Linked DNA regions of Mytilus edulis. The protein of the gene in region 1 binds, or shares a complex with, the protein of each later gene. Links are inferred from orthologs where the notes say so. Each region holds a gene or a part of one and is shown in the gene's direction. Other genes may lie near its edges. The genes, in order: 26S proteasome regulatory subunit 6A-B and proteasomal ubiquitin receptor ADRM1-like.

Evidence for each region.
Region 2: 26S proteasome regulatory subunit 6A-B (region 1) and proteasomal ubiquitin receptor ADRM1-like share a complex: the UniProt entries of both Caenorhabditis elegans proteins name them as parts of the 19S proteasome regulatory particle complex. The link is inferred for Mytilus edulis from reciprocal best matches to the Caenorhabditis elegans genes rpt-5 and rpn-13.

What each region holds. Positions count from the first base shown.
Region 1 is NC_092352.1:86,138,542-86,146,400, forward strand, and holds the start of 26S proteasome regulatory subunit 6A-B, read left to right. Parts: upstream 1-4,472; 5' UTR 4,473-4,525; coding exon 4,526-4,567; intron 4,568-7,859. UniProt on the Caenorhabditis elegans protein: Component of the 26S proteasome, a multiprotein complex involved in the ATP-dependent degradation of ubiquitinated proteins.
Region 2 is NC_092355.1:80,494,245-80,502,023, reverse strand, and holds the start of proteasomal ubiquitin receptor ADRM1-like, read left to right. Parts: upstream 1-4,318; 5' UTR 4,319-4,359; coding exon 4,360-4,557; intron 4,558-6,701; coding exon 6,702-6,818; intron 6,819-7,779. Other genes in the region: phospholipase ABHD3-like, read right to left, coding at 769-876. UniProt on the Caenorhabditis elegans protein: May function as a proteasomal ubiquitin receptor. May promote the deubiquitinating activity associated with the 26S proteasome.

The sequences.
Region 1 (7,859 bases):
ACTTTTGTTGATCAGCAATGTCCCCTGGAAGAAACTGAAGAGAAATTGTAAACTAAATTCCCGGATCTCATGTCAGAATCTTTCATAATAAGGGCCAATACAGTCAAATCATACAATAACTGCCAATCATGCCTAAGTCCTTAATTTAAAGTCTGACAATGTCGAGGATGAAGAAGCTAGTAATATACATCCTTGGTACATTGCTGTTACACAAACATAGGTTGAATATAATAGCGCGCAAAAGGGAATAAAGCCCTCAAAATCCTAGCTTAAACCCTGGTTATATCTATAATACTAAAATTACGAGGTCCAATTTGTCAGCCGTCATCACGTAAAAACGACGAATCACAGAATTCAACTTTATATATAACTAATATAGTACAAAGGTGTAGATTAAAAATTACACCACTCCAGGCCCTTTTGTATTCCACGTAATTAATATTGCCAATAATTAAGAAGTTCTGGGTCGAGTCCGCTACCGATACCAATAGTATATTCACCTGTTACCTATTACCTTATCTGTACGTTCCGCATCTGACAGGCGCACCACCAAACGTTGTATTCAGGATTAATATGCTATATACACGGGTCATAACCACAGGGTTGACACTACTAAATTGTCAAATTGTTACCTATTGTAGTATTTTAATCAGTACGACTTTCTAAGATAACAATACGAATACTAAAAATCTGGACTAAAAATAAGGCGTATAGGTACAGTTTTCAATTTGTTAGTGGGCATGACGTAAAACAGCGAAGCAAAGAATTCAACTTTATTGATAACTTATATAGGACAATGCTGTTGATTAAAAAATACTCCATTCCAGGACCTTTTGTTTTCCAAATAATTAATATTATTGTTTCAGTTCGACGGGTTCAAACAGAAAGACTTGAAAGCAGAGAAAAACTGTGTATCTTATAATCGGCATGACTTTATCAGATGACAATACTAATACTAAAATAAGGCTTGCGCATAGTTATATACTTTAATTCAGTCACGGACCCGTGATATCACGGGTGTGTTCTAGTATTAAAATATTGTGACAAACATATGCTAATATTGGGTCTGTTATGAAAGTTTAATTATTGGGCAAGTTACAGCCCTGTAAGGTTAATGACGGTTTGTTCCTGTTGTCAGTTTTGATTTACAAATAGTTATAAGAAGATGTCGGTATGAGACAACTCTCTATTCAAATCAAAATTTATTTATGAAAGAAAACCATTATATGTCAAAGTATTGTCTTCAATACGGAGCATTGGCTCGCACCGATAAACTCTGTATATAAAAATTAGAACACGTATGACTACCAATGAGACACTGACCTACCCACCAAAGTTCAAAGGAAGAGGATGTAAGCAAGGCAACAATACGGCCTTCAATAATGAGAAAAACACAAACCGTCTGATCGACTGTAAAGGCCACAACATGAAATATAAGAAATATATTTAGAAAACTATTTTTCTAATTTATAAGTAAACAATGAACGAAACACAAATAATTATATGACAGACATGAACCAACGAAAACCACTGAACTATAGGCTCCTGAATTAAAGGCACACCGGCAAAGAATGTGGCGGGGTTAAAATGATTGTGACAAATAATAAAAAAAATCATACATCTAAAACTAAGATATCAATCAATACACGTCCAACATCCAATGGATTTAATGCAAAGTCGTCATAAACAGTTTTAGGAAAACGTGAGCTTGTGCAATCCTAAACTATATTATGTATCCACAGATTGTAGTGTCGTGAAATTACATATGTGTTATATTTAAAACATTACAGTGTTGAATAAGTAACATTTACTTCACTTCATAATCTTAAAAAACAGAGATTTTCCTATTCTATAAATGTTGGCATTTCGTTCAGTGTATAGTTAGTTCATAGTTCTTTATTTTCCAATTAAGGGCCTCTGACGGGACATAATGACAACAATTAAGAATTGAATGCTTCTTTTTGTAAATTTATTGGGGTGTAAAAGCGTTGACCGAAGTACATTTTGTATGAAGCGCGGAAGCGCTTCATTCTAAAATGTACGCACGGTCAACGCTTTTACAACCATATAAAGTTACAAAAAGAAGCATTCAATACTTATAATTACATTTTTTAGCTATGATCACGAAAACACGAATTTTATATATTTTATTATTTAATTCACCTGTGCACTTTATTGTTGGAGCACGTGTTATCATGAATGAAAAGTTGTATTGATCATTACAACTGCTTACGGAATAACACGTGATGTGCAGTGCTTTCGGGTCGATCCGGCCCCACGTCGATCCGGCCCAAGTCGATCCGTCCCACGTCGATCCGGCCCCACGTCGATCCGGCCCATATGTAAAGTCGATCCGGCCCCAATAAAAAAAAATATTTCTAAGGAATAAAAATAAATATATATTAATTGTAATTCATAAATGTTTATTATTTTTATTATAATGTTAAAGGTGTACGGTAAAAAAAGTAAAAAAGGCCTTTGAAAAATATTTTCTTTAGATGAGTATAAAACAACTAGGTTGATTATGTCTTTATTACAAGTTTTCAAGATTATTGGGTATAATTATATTAAAACGTATATAAAAGAATTCAGACATCAACATTAATCAGCAGTAATTAGCATTTTCTTTCAATTGACTGTGATCCTAACAAGTCTTTCATCTTGTGTAACATATAATAACAAATAGTTACATACATGAACGGTACAAGCCGATCTCCAAGCTGATACATATAAACTTTGTTTTTCTTTCTAAGTTCTTAAAATTTCTAAAATTGAGAAATGTTGTTTGATTTGCCGGATCCTTTTTATAAAAGAGTGCTGATATTATATTTTATGCTGATATAAAAGTGTTATAGAATAGCATATTTTTATATGTTATAGAAGCCTATGATGTAACCTGAAAAAAAAATACAAATAATTATTATAATATACACCAACCAGAAGATCAAACTATAAAGATCTATAAAGACCTTGTTGAAAAACAGATTACGTAACTTTAATTAATCAGCATTGGATTGAATTAAGTGATTACGAGTGGCATTACTTTAGTTCACAATTATCAGACAACTGTTGAATAAACAAACCAATTATAGACTAATGATTTGATTAAACCAGAGACATATAATACATTTGTAAGTCATTATTATGCGTTAAATTTTCCATGAATTTTATAGGTCCATTATTTATTTATTTAGATATTCTGTGTGTGAACTGAATAAAATAAATATCGCCATGAAATTTAAAGTAAAAGTTATCATGGAAAATAACTTCATAATTTAAAAATGTAGAAACTGCGATACAAACAGACACAATTTTAACACTAATTTTCGTATGGATTTAAAATAGTTCGTTAACTGGTACTCCAATACTTCACTGACCTGTTGTCATCCATCATCGATCGGACACTTTTTTCAAATTCCATTTCCATCATCGATCGGACACTTTTTTCAAATTCCATTTATACTGTTAAAGTTTGTGACAAATTCCTCCAAAATCTAGTTAATTCATATTTTATTATGGGGCCGGATCGACTTGGGGACGGATCGACGTGGGCCGGATCGACTTGGGCCGGATCGACTTTGGGCCGGATTGACTTGGGGCCGGATCGGTTTGGGGCCGGAACGACCGGATACCATGTGCAGTTAGCCAATCAGAATAAAATATTATAATGAAACATACATCTAATGTAATTATTACACAATACATTCTCATTTATAACATATAAACATATAATGGAGATAAAATTAAAATTATAATTCACATACAAAGAGGATGTCGAGATAATATCATAGAATATGTATAATCATATCAAATATCGCAACATAAAACAATTGTTATTGCTATTATTTTAGTTCTTTTAAAGTTTCATATCTTTGATTTTACTGCCATCGGCCAGAGTGCCAATAAAAATAGATTAATAACTGAATTTGATAATGCCATCCACAAGCAGTGAGACGTTTAATTCCTTTACAGTAATATTACCTACTGAATACCGTATACTTTAGAATATCTTTTTTGTTTAGTCTATTTCAGATCAGTTCATACCGCATGTATAGATCTTGAAATATTGTATATACACCTCAAGTTGCTCCGTTGTTATAGAGGGTACTGGTGTGTTTGAATACTGAAATGAGATTTTTCCATTTGTTTCCTTACAAGTGTGTTCCTATAAACAATGATATTTCCCTCTCCTTGAAGACAATAATGGCCATGGCCGAAACAACTTTTCAAAGTATGGCCGAACTGGTAGCGTAGAGCAGGAACCGACGTATATGATTTTTTTTATTTTGGAGCGAATAGTTGCAAGTGGCGATAGAGTGAAAATGTGTCGACTTGTCATTTTTTCCCAATATTATAATCATATTCAATTTATTCAATTACACTAAAAAAAATCAAAACCAAACCTGATTCAATTGCAAGCTTCTAACATTGTTTAAGGAAATTAATATATGAAATATTGCAATTTAAAAGAATTTAATATTTTTAAGGTCGAAGTTTCGGATCTGTCACGTGACATTCAGTGAAAATGGCGACGCTCGAAGACAAGGCAATTTGGGACGATGGAGAGGTATTTTAACACAAATATTGCACAGTTTCACTAAATTAACCACCATGGAGACCTGTAAACAGAAATACAGTCGCCTTCAGTATCCATAAGAGTCAATATATCATGTTATGGAAAAGTTCTTTGTAGTTTTTAGGAGAATACATGATTCAATTTTCCTTCGTCATCCTCTCGCCGGTCACCGTACATACACTTTTCCCCAGGAATGACAAGTTGACCTGTGAAATTTATCATTAAACCTACATTCATACGTTATTGTCCCGTTAATATAATGTTCATTGTAATGCAATAAATATTCGAATTTACATTTTTTATAAAATCATTCATGTCCATGTGTATATTTACCAGTACATAGTAGTCAGTACAGGCTATGTTAGTCTGTATCTGCATGTTAGTTACACAGAGGCTAGAGCAGGATCTGATTACGGGTATATGTGTACTGGAAGAAGTACTGGTTGGTATGTCCAAAAGTGTTGAAAGGCAGCCGTGAAACCCTCAATTTTTGCTAGTTTTGTCATGACCACTGCATTATTTTTTTTTTTGGAAGAAAAGAGTTCTTATTGATGTCTGGTTTTGCAGTCTATCAGTTTGAATGATCTTGTCTTTCTACGATGTTTGTGTATTGAAAATCACTGCCTTGACTTGGCTTTATTTCTTATTTATTGCAGATAGTTTGTTGGTTTAATAGCTTGCACCCATCACTCAACCACTTTATAGAACATAGTCAGCCTCTGGTTTTCTCTGTTCCCAAATGACAAAACCATATTCTATTACCGATGTATCCGTGACTAAGTTACACTTGCCTAATGGTCTTCTTGCTTCACCTGTCTCTGATTGTCATTTTTAGACCTACATGTATAGACCCCCTTGATGGTCAAGTTGTAGAGAGTTCCACTCAAGGGTGGAAGGATGTGGATTTGAACCTCGGCCAAATAATAACTGCTACTTCTCAACTAACCACATGGTATTAAGCCTGTTTAAGGAGTAAAAGCAAAAACAAATAAACTTAGAGTTAGGGTAGGGTGACTGTCTTCCTCCTTGTTTTCTAGCATATTCTAGTTTAAAGCAGGGTTAATATTTATATTACTTTAACATATTCTTGTCCTTAATACATTTAATTAACTGCTGGACATTAAACAGCCCTCTATCAACATCATCAGAACCTCCCAAATGTTTATTTTAGCAACAGGGGACAGAATCTCCTGACTTTGGACAGGCACAAAAAAGCGACTGGGTTAAACATATTTTTGTGAGATCTCAGTCTTCCCCTATACCTCTGGCCAATGTAGAATACAGAAACACATAGCAATACTCATGTAGTAAAACTCAGTTTAAAAGAAGTCTGAATAGGTAGCAAAAGAAACTACGCAAAATGACAATGATACATAAATGATGATAAACAATTAAAACAAATGTATAACAAATAAATAAAGTTCTGGCATCCCAGTGTTCTCCCCAGGATTTTTGGATAGCACCAGGGTAACGCGTGACGAAATGAATTTTACAGTATTTTGTGTCGCTTTGCGTCGCTTATTTTTTTTCTTGTTACTTTTTGTCATTACCTGTTTGCCTAAAAAGTTGTTTTGTTTATTGTGGAACTGTGTTGTAGGACTTTGGGTCAGAAAATTATTGGTAGAAAAAGTAAATTAATAAACAGTTTGTATACTTTAATATCTTTGAAGAATAAATAAAAGAAAGCACAATTAGTCTTTAAGCTAAAGTCTCTTCTTATATTTTGATCAAGCCATTTTGTCCCGATACTTGTAGTTACACTACACATTCCCCATAACAATGAACTTTGAACAAGATTTTTGATACAGAACCTTCAGTAAATTAAAAACTATTTCCATAGTTTTAGATCTGATTCTTTTAGACAACAACAAATTTGTTTTTATGATTAATACTTTGTTACAGACATGGAGAGTACTTTAAAAGAGTTTTCTATTCACAAGGTTCATCCCTAGCTTTAGTCCTGCATGGGAATGTATTAGAGTTGTGGCAGTAGGCTTTTTAGACCTGTTACACTCAAATATTTTAACATTGTATAAATTACCCGTTTATTATAATATGTCTGTGCATCAATAATGGTATGATTCTCAAAAATAATTTGCAAAACATTTTTGTTGGTATGTTCTAAGAATGTTTTCATCCTTAATGTAACATTCTAATATAATTTTGCATTCAATTTGTACTTTATTTTTATTTGCAATGAGAAATTATATGTGAGGAGCATTTATTTGTAATTAACAAAATCAGGGGAAGTAACTCCACAATTAATTCCTAAAAGGCAAATTATTTTGACTTGAGACTGGCGTAATAGGGTTCATTAACAAATGTCTGCTTGTCCCTCACAAGTCTGTTATTTAAATTATGATCTCTTAATTAATTAAAACACAAAAGAATCATGTACATCGATTAAATCCAATCATCAAGGTTAACCTCAACAGGTAAATCGATCACGTGGTGTAAACAATCATCTTGTCAATACTGGATTAAACTGGTTAGAACTGGTCAATTTTGATGTAAAGTTGAAGTCATCTGAAACTTTACCGATTTTAATACGATTTTTTTACCGAAAACTTTAGCACCACGGAAAAAAATTATACATCGCGGCAAGAACGATACCACAGCGGCAGAAAATTATACATCGCGGGCCCGTGGTCCTTTAAGGGCCTGGGGAGAACACTGCATCCTGAATACATATAACATACAACAAACATACACATCGTGACATAACATATAATATCATTATCTGATATCATTTTTGAAAAGATTAGAACTTGTTCTAAATCTTTACTAAGGCACCGGCCTCCCATACAACACGACAGGTTAGCTACTGTTAGTAAATGTATTCACACTGAAATATAGTTCCCTATTGTTCTCATGTATGTGCTCATAATAAACATCTAAACTGAAAAAATGGGTATATTATTGGAGCAGTTCATTCAAGATTGTATGTCATTACTAATGTGTGTTGATGTGCAGGCTTTTTTTTTAAAACATTTTGATTAAGTAATTGGGTATTGATACAATACTAGTATGATTGACAACTGTCATTATCACTAAACAATCAGAGACATGTCACAAGGTAAACCTTTGAATACAATGCACCACCTCCTAAACTATCAAACAAATTGACCACATTAGTCTTACATAAATTATACAAACCCTGCAATATACATCTAGATCTTAATATACAAATATTGACCTCATAATTGAATACACAAATGTCATGAATGTATATATTAGATGTTTGATATATAAGGATGATAGATTTATTTATTGCCTATTACTT
Region 2 (7,779 bases), on another chromosome or scaffold:
GATAGTGCATCATATGCAATGATATTCATGTATTACAACTTCCCTGGTCTGAATCCAATAATTTCTTCAATCAGTGTACAGAAGAAATTAACTTAATATTCATTTTCTGTTTTTACAGGAAAATGATATATTATTTCATCTTATATTGTATGCATAAAAAATTCCCAATTGGGATAAAAATTCCCAATTTGATATTCAAGGGACCCATTTGTAAACACCTGGAATCATCCCTGGTCAGAATCAAGCTAAAAACCACATATATATATTGTGAATAAAAGAATAATAAAATTACATTATACATGTATATGTATTTATTCTCAAATTATTTACTTGACTTGGTGTCAGTGTTCATACCTGATCTCTTCTTAAATTCAAAACAGTCACATATATAACAGCCCAGTTTTTCCATAAGAGTAACATTTTCTTGGGTCAAGAGCAATACAAATTTAGATTTATTTAAATTTGTAAAATTACAACAATTGTTAGAAATGTCTTGAAAAAAATCGTCCCTTTAAATTTGAATATCATAAAGAGGGCATTCTAATAAGAAATGAAGCTCATCTTCAACTTTGCTTATGTATATAATGTAAGCGAGATTCAGGAATCTGACAAAACAGTAAGCGATATCGGGGATTAGAACCCCCAATGAGATCCCCAATAAAACCTAAAAATAAAAAAATTCAGACATGACTGTCAGTGTCAATGACTGTCTTCAGTAAGTTTATTAATAATTTAGTAATTGCTATTTTCTAAAGTTTGACAGCTTACCTTGACTACAAAAAGATAGTAATAACAGATGTATAATATAATAAAAGTTAAAGCTATCAATATTGAGGCATTTTCCCGGCAAAATTCTGAAAGAGCACCAAAGTCCATCTTTGCTGCATCAAAACATCACATGTGAGAGAAATGTCAAATTATCGGGTTACACTAATGACTGGACCGAATGACAGGACCGAATGACAGGACCAAATGAAAAATGCTAATAACTTTTTCATTTCTCAAAGGATTGATCTCAAATTTGAAATATAATAAGATTTCATCATTTGATAAATAGATTTAAGAAAAAAATTAAAAAGTTTTGTAAGAAACTTTAGAAAATGTGACATGACCAACTTTGATAATGACAGGACCAACATCGAGAATGACAGGACCAAATAAAAATGCTAATAACTTTTTTGTTTTTCAAAGGAATTATTTCAGATTTGAAATATAAAATGGTATGTCATATTTTGAAACAAAAATGTTGTAAAAAATATAGATTTATTTTCAAAAACTTTCGAAAAAGTGACATGACCATCGCTGATTGACAGGACCAACCTCGACAATGACTGGACCAGATAAAATTGCTAATTTCTCTTTTATTTCTCAAAATATTTTTCTGAAATTTGATATATAATAAGATTTCATCATTTGATAAATAGATTTAAGAAAAAAAAATTAAAAAAAATGTAAGAAACTTTAGAAAACGTGACATGACCAACTCTGATAATGACATGATCGACAATGACAGGACCAAAGTAAAATGCTAATAACTTTTTTTATTTTTCAAAGGAATTCTCACAGATTTGAAATATAAAATAATATGTCATATTTTGAAAAATAAATGTTATAAAAAATATAGAAAGTTTAAACGTGACATAACCATCGCTGACTGACAGGACCAACCTCGACAATGACAGGACCAGATGAAATTGCTAATTACTTTTTATTTCTAAAAAATATTTTTCTGAAATTTGAGATATAGTCAGATTTAACCATTTTATACATAAAAATAGGAATGATATAGGAAAAAAAATACTTAAAGCTTGCTGTAATGTGACCTGACCAACACTAACAATGACAGGACAAACCTTGACAAGGACAGGACCAAATAAAAATGCTATTCACTTTTTAATTTTGAAAAGGAATTATGTCAGATTTAAAATAAAATGTGATCTCATCTTTTAAAACATCAATTAAAGAAAAAAAATCTAGATTTTTTTTATTGCGAAAACGTGAAATGACCATAGTCCCTACTATAGAAATCCTGGTTGAAATTAATAATAATAATTAAAACACACACATTAAGATTGAATGATTTATAAGCTTTTAGAAAATAAGGGAAAAAGCTAACTTTATTTATCTTTGGTGTAAATATTTATCATATTAATTGATATTTCGCACATGCTATATCTTAATATAACTCTTTAACTATGTATTTGGGTTGAGAATAAAGATCATTCATTCATTCAGATTATTTTGTGTATTAATTACCGGACATAATCTGACACGTCTGAAAACAATTATAAGGTAACAAACAAAAGGTGTGACATAAGCCATAAATAAGTTGATAAATCCAATAAAGATTGTGATGACAGTAATTAAAATCACATAATAGTTCAAGTCGTTGTTTTATTCAATATTTTCAGAACATTAAATAATTATTTCCATGTATGCTTGAGTATATGCAGGGTATATCTTGATAGTTTCCCCCCTCATAATAAATAAACAAATAAACATTTCTTGAAGTATGCCCGACCCTTGCATGCATGATTTCTTGGTAGTTTCAAATATTTTCATAGAATATACTGAATCAAACATTTTCACGGACTACTTTAAAAGGTTTGATACCTTTTCAAAGTGGCTTAAATTGGGCTTCATGATGTCAAGAAATATTATGATGACAATTCAATAAATCTGAATTTATCTATAGTTTAATGAACAATCTCTTAAACAATAAAATGATTATATGTAATTACATATAAATATTTCAAGATCTCTTTCTTAAATATAGTGATCATTCGTGTCTTTTTGTCCTGTGACTCTGCATGTCCTGTGACTCTCTGCCAACATACGTTTAGCATGTTTAGTAGCTATGGGTCAAGAATTTTAACCACCATAGAATATATTTTGCTGAATTTATAAGATATATCTTACTAATTATGGATCAGAATTGAACAATTTCAGTAAAATCATTGGCCAGATCATAGCCGATGTTGGTCAGGTCACACAACCGCAAGCTTTCAATACGTTTTTTTTTCTATATTTTTCTTATATGATGTGCAAAATGGTCTTAATTGTCATTATTTCAAATTTGAGAGGAATATTCTGACAAATGTTATGCATAATTAGCATTTTTATTTGGTCCTGTCATTAATTGTCGAGGATTGTCCTGTTATTGACAACGTTAACCAGATCACATTTCAGCAAGCTTTTTATACCTTTTTCTTATATTTATGTATAAAATGGTATAATCTTCACATATTTTAATTTCAGAGAAATATTCTGCGAAATAAAAGAATAATTAGCAATTTCATTTGTTCAGGACATTGTCGAGCTTGGTCATGTCAGTCAGCGATGGGATCATGTCACGATTTTGAAAGTTTTTGAAAATAAATCTTTATTTTTTATAACATAAATGTTTCAAAATGTGACATATCATTTTATGTTTCAAATCTGAGATAATTCTTTTGTAAAATAAAAAAGATATTAGCATTTTTATTTGGTCCTGTTATTGTCGAAGTTGGTCCTGTCATTATCAGAGTTGGTCATGTCACGTTTTCTAAAGTTTCTTACATATTTTTTGTGTATTTTTTTTTAAATTTATTTGATAAATGATGAAATCTTATTATATTTCAAATTTCAGAAAAATATTTTGAGAAATAAAAGAGAAATTAGCAATTTCATCTGGTCCGGTCATTGTCGATGTTGGTCATGTCACGTTTTCGAAAGTTTTTGAAAATAAATCTATAATTTTTATAACATTTTGGTTTCAAAATATGACATACCATTTTATATTTCAAATCTGAAATAATTCCTTTGAAAAACAAAAAAGTTATTAGCAATTTGATTTGGTCCTGTCATTGTCAATGTTGGTCCTGTCATTATCAGAGTTGGTCATGTCACGTTTTCTAAAGTTTCTTACAATTTTTCTTTATTTTTTTTTTAAATCTATATATCAAATGATGAAATCTTATTATATTTCAAATTTCAGATCAATCCTTTGCGAAATGAAAAAGTTATTAGCATTTTTCATTTGGTCCTGTCATTCGGTCCTGTCATTCGGTCCAGTCATTAGTGTAACCCCAAATTATCTCCCCTGTGAATTTTTCCTTGAACTTGACAGGATAAGTCCATTTTCCAGACAGGGGACAAAGATTAGTCTTTTCCCAAATTAAGTTAATTCAAATGAATTGATATAGATAATTCATTTTCATGGGAAAAAATACTCTCTGTTTTTAAAAGATGATACATTTGCTATAATTTTTCAAATTGAAAGATTAGTTTCATGATTTTTTGAACAGATGAAAATTACTGCCCTACCCTATGGTAAAAGTCTATTTACCCAATTCACTTCCTGTACAAAAAACTTTGAAAATGGCTACTGGAGCTTTGTTCGGTGGAAATAGTCGCTCTCAGAGCAAGAATCTGGTTGAATTTCGATGTGGCAAAATGTTCATGAAAGAGAAAATGGTCCACCCAGATAAAAGGAAGGGGTTGCTCTACGTGTATCAGGCTGAAGACTCTCTAATGCACTTTTGTTGGAAGGACAGGGGCACCGGCACGATTGAAGATGTACGAAAACTGCTATGTCATTTTGGGTTTTTAATATATTTCATGTTGATGTATGCATTGTATTGCTCTAGATATTGCTAATATTTAAAGAAAGGAAATGTTAGATTTACACAACAAATTACAGTGTATCTGTACATAATTATCTGTACATAATTTTCTATGTACTGACTTTTTGAAATTAGGAGGAAAAGGGGGAGGGTGTTTTTCAAGGGGGTCTCATTTGGGGTTTTTGATCCTGAATCCTGCCTACTGCTTTGTCATATTCCTGTATGACGCTTAAACTTAAGCAATTCTCATTTTTTTGTAATTTCCTGTTTTCAGGTACATTAATCAGGTTGGGGACAACCCACCAAATGGGGAACTGTTCCCCAAATGATAGTCCGAGATTACTCTGATGTCCAACGGCTGTTTTGCCAGACAAGCTGGGGCCATGGGACGTCAGAGCTCGTCCCATATCAAAAAGTGGATATTTGCCCACCCAAAGTAGATGCGCTGCTTCGTTGCTTCTGGTGCCGACTGACGGCCTTGGGATTATATAAATCGTGCATCAATCTGTTCATTTTTCATTTATATCCTCATTTATGTAAGTTACACCTACCTGCCAACCTTTATAATATTTTCTCATAATTAGACAGTTTTCACAGTGACCCATCGATTTCAGCATTTTGCCTTTCATTTTCAAAGATTATCACATGACCACAAGAAAACAGTGATGATTTATGCAAATGACCATAATGTAACACTTGTTCATTTACGATGCAAGTTATCTAAGAGCTTCCGATTGTAATGTGGTCTGAACTAAATGCTTCATATCGATCTCCTGTCAACATGGTAAACAGTCGATTTTTGTTTTTGACTTAAATAAGTCAAAACATGTATTTATTATAAAAATGTAGTTTCAATTTTAGACTTATCTAAGTCAGAAAATGGCAGACTTGTTTAGGTCTATTTATGTTGGTGAAAAAACTTAATGTTACTTTGTGGCCAAACTACACCACCTATGACAGCAAAAACCTGTATGAGAGTTCACAAGGACTTGAGCTATCTATATTTAATTATCTAAGTGGACATCCTTACTAAACACAGATGTTTTACCTCATTAAGTGTGATTCCAGGTGGTTGCATTGTAAGGTTAATGAACATTATCTTCGATTTTTTAGACTCTCATTCATATTTTTCTATAGAAGACAAAGTATTGGCTTTCAATGTTGTCATTATTTGATTTAGATGCATGACCTCCTTATAAATATGTATGGGTCTTGAAGTTAACCAATTTTGATCACTCATCGACTTGTAGGAGTCGATATTTGAAACTTTTTGATTCTGGTCAATTATTTCTTGTTTAACAATATTGGACTTATTCAAGTCGTATTTTGTCTTACATTAAAGGGAGACAACTCCTAAAACTTACAAATTAAGACCTCTATGAGTCAAAAGCAGATTCAGACTTATTTATGTCTGAGCTCTGACTGGTAAAGGAGGTGAAAACCCGTGGTTGGCTACTAAATGTTAAACATCGATCTCCTATAAAGGAGGTGAACAAATATAAATATTTGCATATTTTGAGTCTCGAGACCACGGACTCTCTCGTTACTTGACGTCCATTTGAAAGTGAAAGTCAAAATGCCGAAATCTATGGGTCACTGTGAAAACTGTCTAATTCTGAGAAAATAAAGGTTGGCAGGTAGGTAAAACTTACATAAATGAAGAGATAAATGAAAAATGAACAGATTGATGCCTGATTTATATAATTCTGGGGCCGTCAGTCGGCACCAGAAGCGACGAAGCAGTGCATCTATTTTGGGTGGGCAAATATCCACTTTTTGATATGGGACAAGCTCTGACGTCCCACGGCCCCAGCTTGTCTGGCAAAACAGCCGTTGGACCTCAGAGTAATCTCGTACTACCCAAATGAGTAACAATCCCTCATTTGAGTTGGCACAAAAACAAAAACAAGTAGAAACCTTAATCAGCAAAAGTAATAAAAAAACATGGTCTACAAAAACTCAAATACAACAAAAACTATAGGATGTATCCTTAATAACTTATTTTTAGCAAATGCAAGGTGAGCAGTAAAGACTCTTGCAAGCTTCTTGTTTGTGATACATTGTGGTGAGATAATTGTATTCTCTTTATATTTTTAGGATTTGATAATCTTCCCAGATGATATTGAGTTCAAACATGTTACTCAGTGTACAACAGGAAGAGTCTATGTCCTCAAGTTCAAGACATCCAGCAGAAAGTTCTTCTTTTGGATGCAGGTAGGTTTTACATGAACAGGGTGAGTCTTATGTCCTCAAGTTCAAGACATCAAGCAGAAAGTTCTTCTTTTGGATGCAGGTAGGTTTTACATGAACAGGGTGAGTCTTATGTCCTCAAGTTCAAGACATCCAGCAGAAATTTCTTCTTTTGGATGCAGGTAGGTCTTACATGAACAGGGTGAGTCTAATGTCCTCAAGTTCAAGACATCCAGCAGAAATTTCTTCTTTTGGATGCATGTACATTTTGGAAATTAGTATGGCGTTCATTATCACTGGACTAGTATATATTTTTTTAGGGGCCAGCTGAAGGACGCCTCCGGGTGCGGGAATTTCTCGCTACATTGAAGACCTGTTGGTGACCCTCTGCTGTTGTTTTTTATTTGGTCGGGTTGTTGTCTCTTTGGCACATTCCCCATTTCCATTCTCAATTTTAGGTCTTACATGAACAGGGTGAGTCTTATGTCCTCAAGTTCAAGACATCAAGCAGAAAGTTCTTCTTTTGGATGCAGGTAGGTCTTACATGAACAGGGAGAGTCTAACGTCCTTAAGTTGAAGACTTCAACTTCAAGGAGTTAGTTCTTTTTTTGGATGTAGGTAGGTCTTGAGATGTCAGAAAGAATTTTATTTTCATTCTCAGAAAATGTTTGATAAGCAACTGAGTTTAATCATTTGCAGGAATCATGGTAATTTTGATCTATATTTTTGTTATTTGAAAAAAACTGTGAAATGTCAATTTATTCAGTACATTACCTAATATTAGTCTATAAATGTTATTTTGTTGTTCAAGTAATGATTTTCATATCTTTGTAACTGGAGGGGTTTTTACGTTGCATATTTTCTGTGTCAACTTTTACATATCATACCCAAGACCGTGTAAAGAGTAAGTATCGGAATCCTGAGTCTCTGATCCTTCATATGTCATGTATGTGGCTTTGTAGAACTTAACACTAGCAAGTTTTCA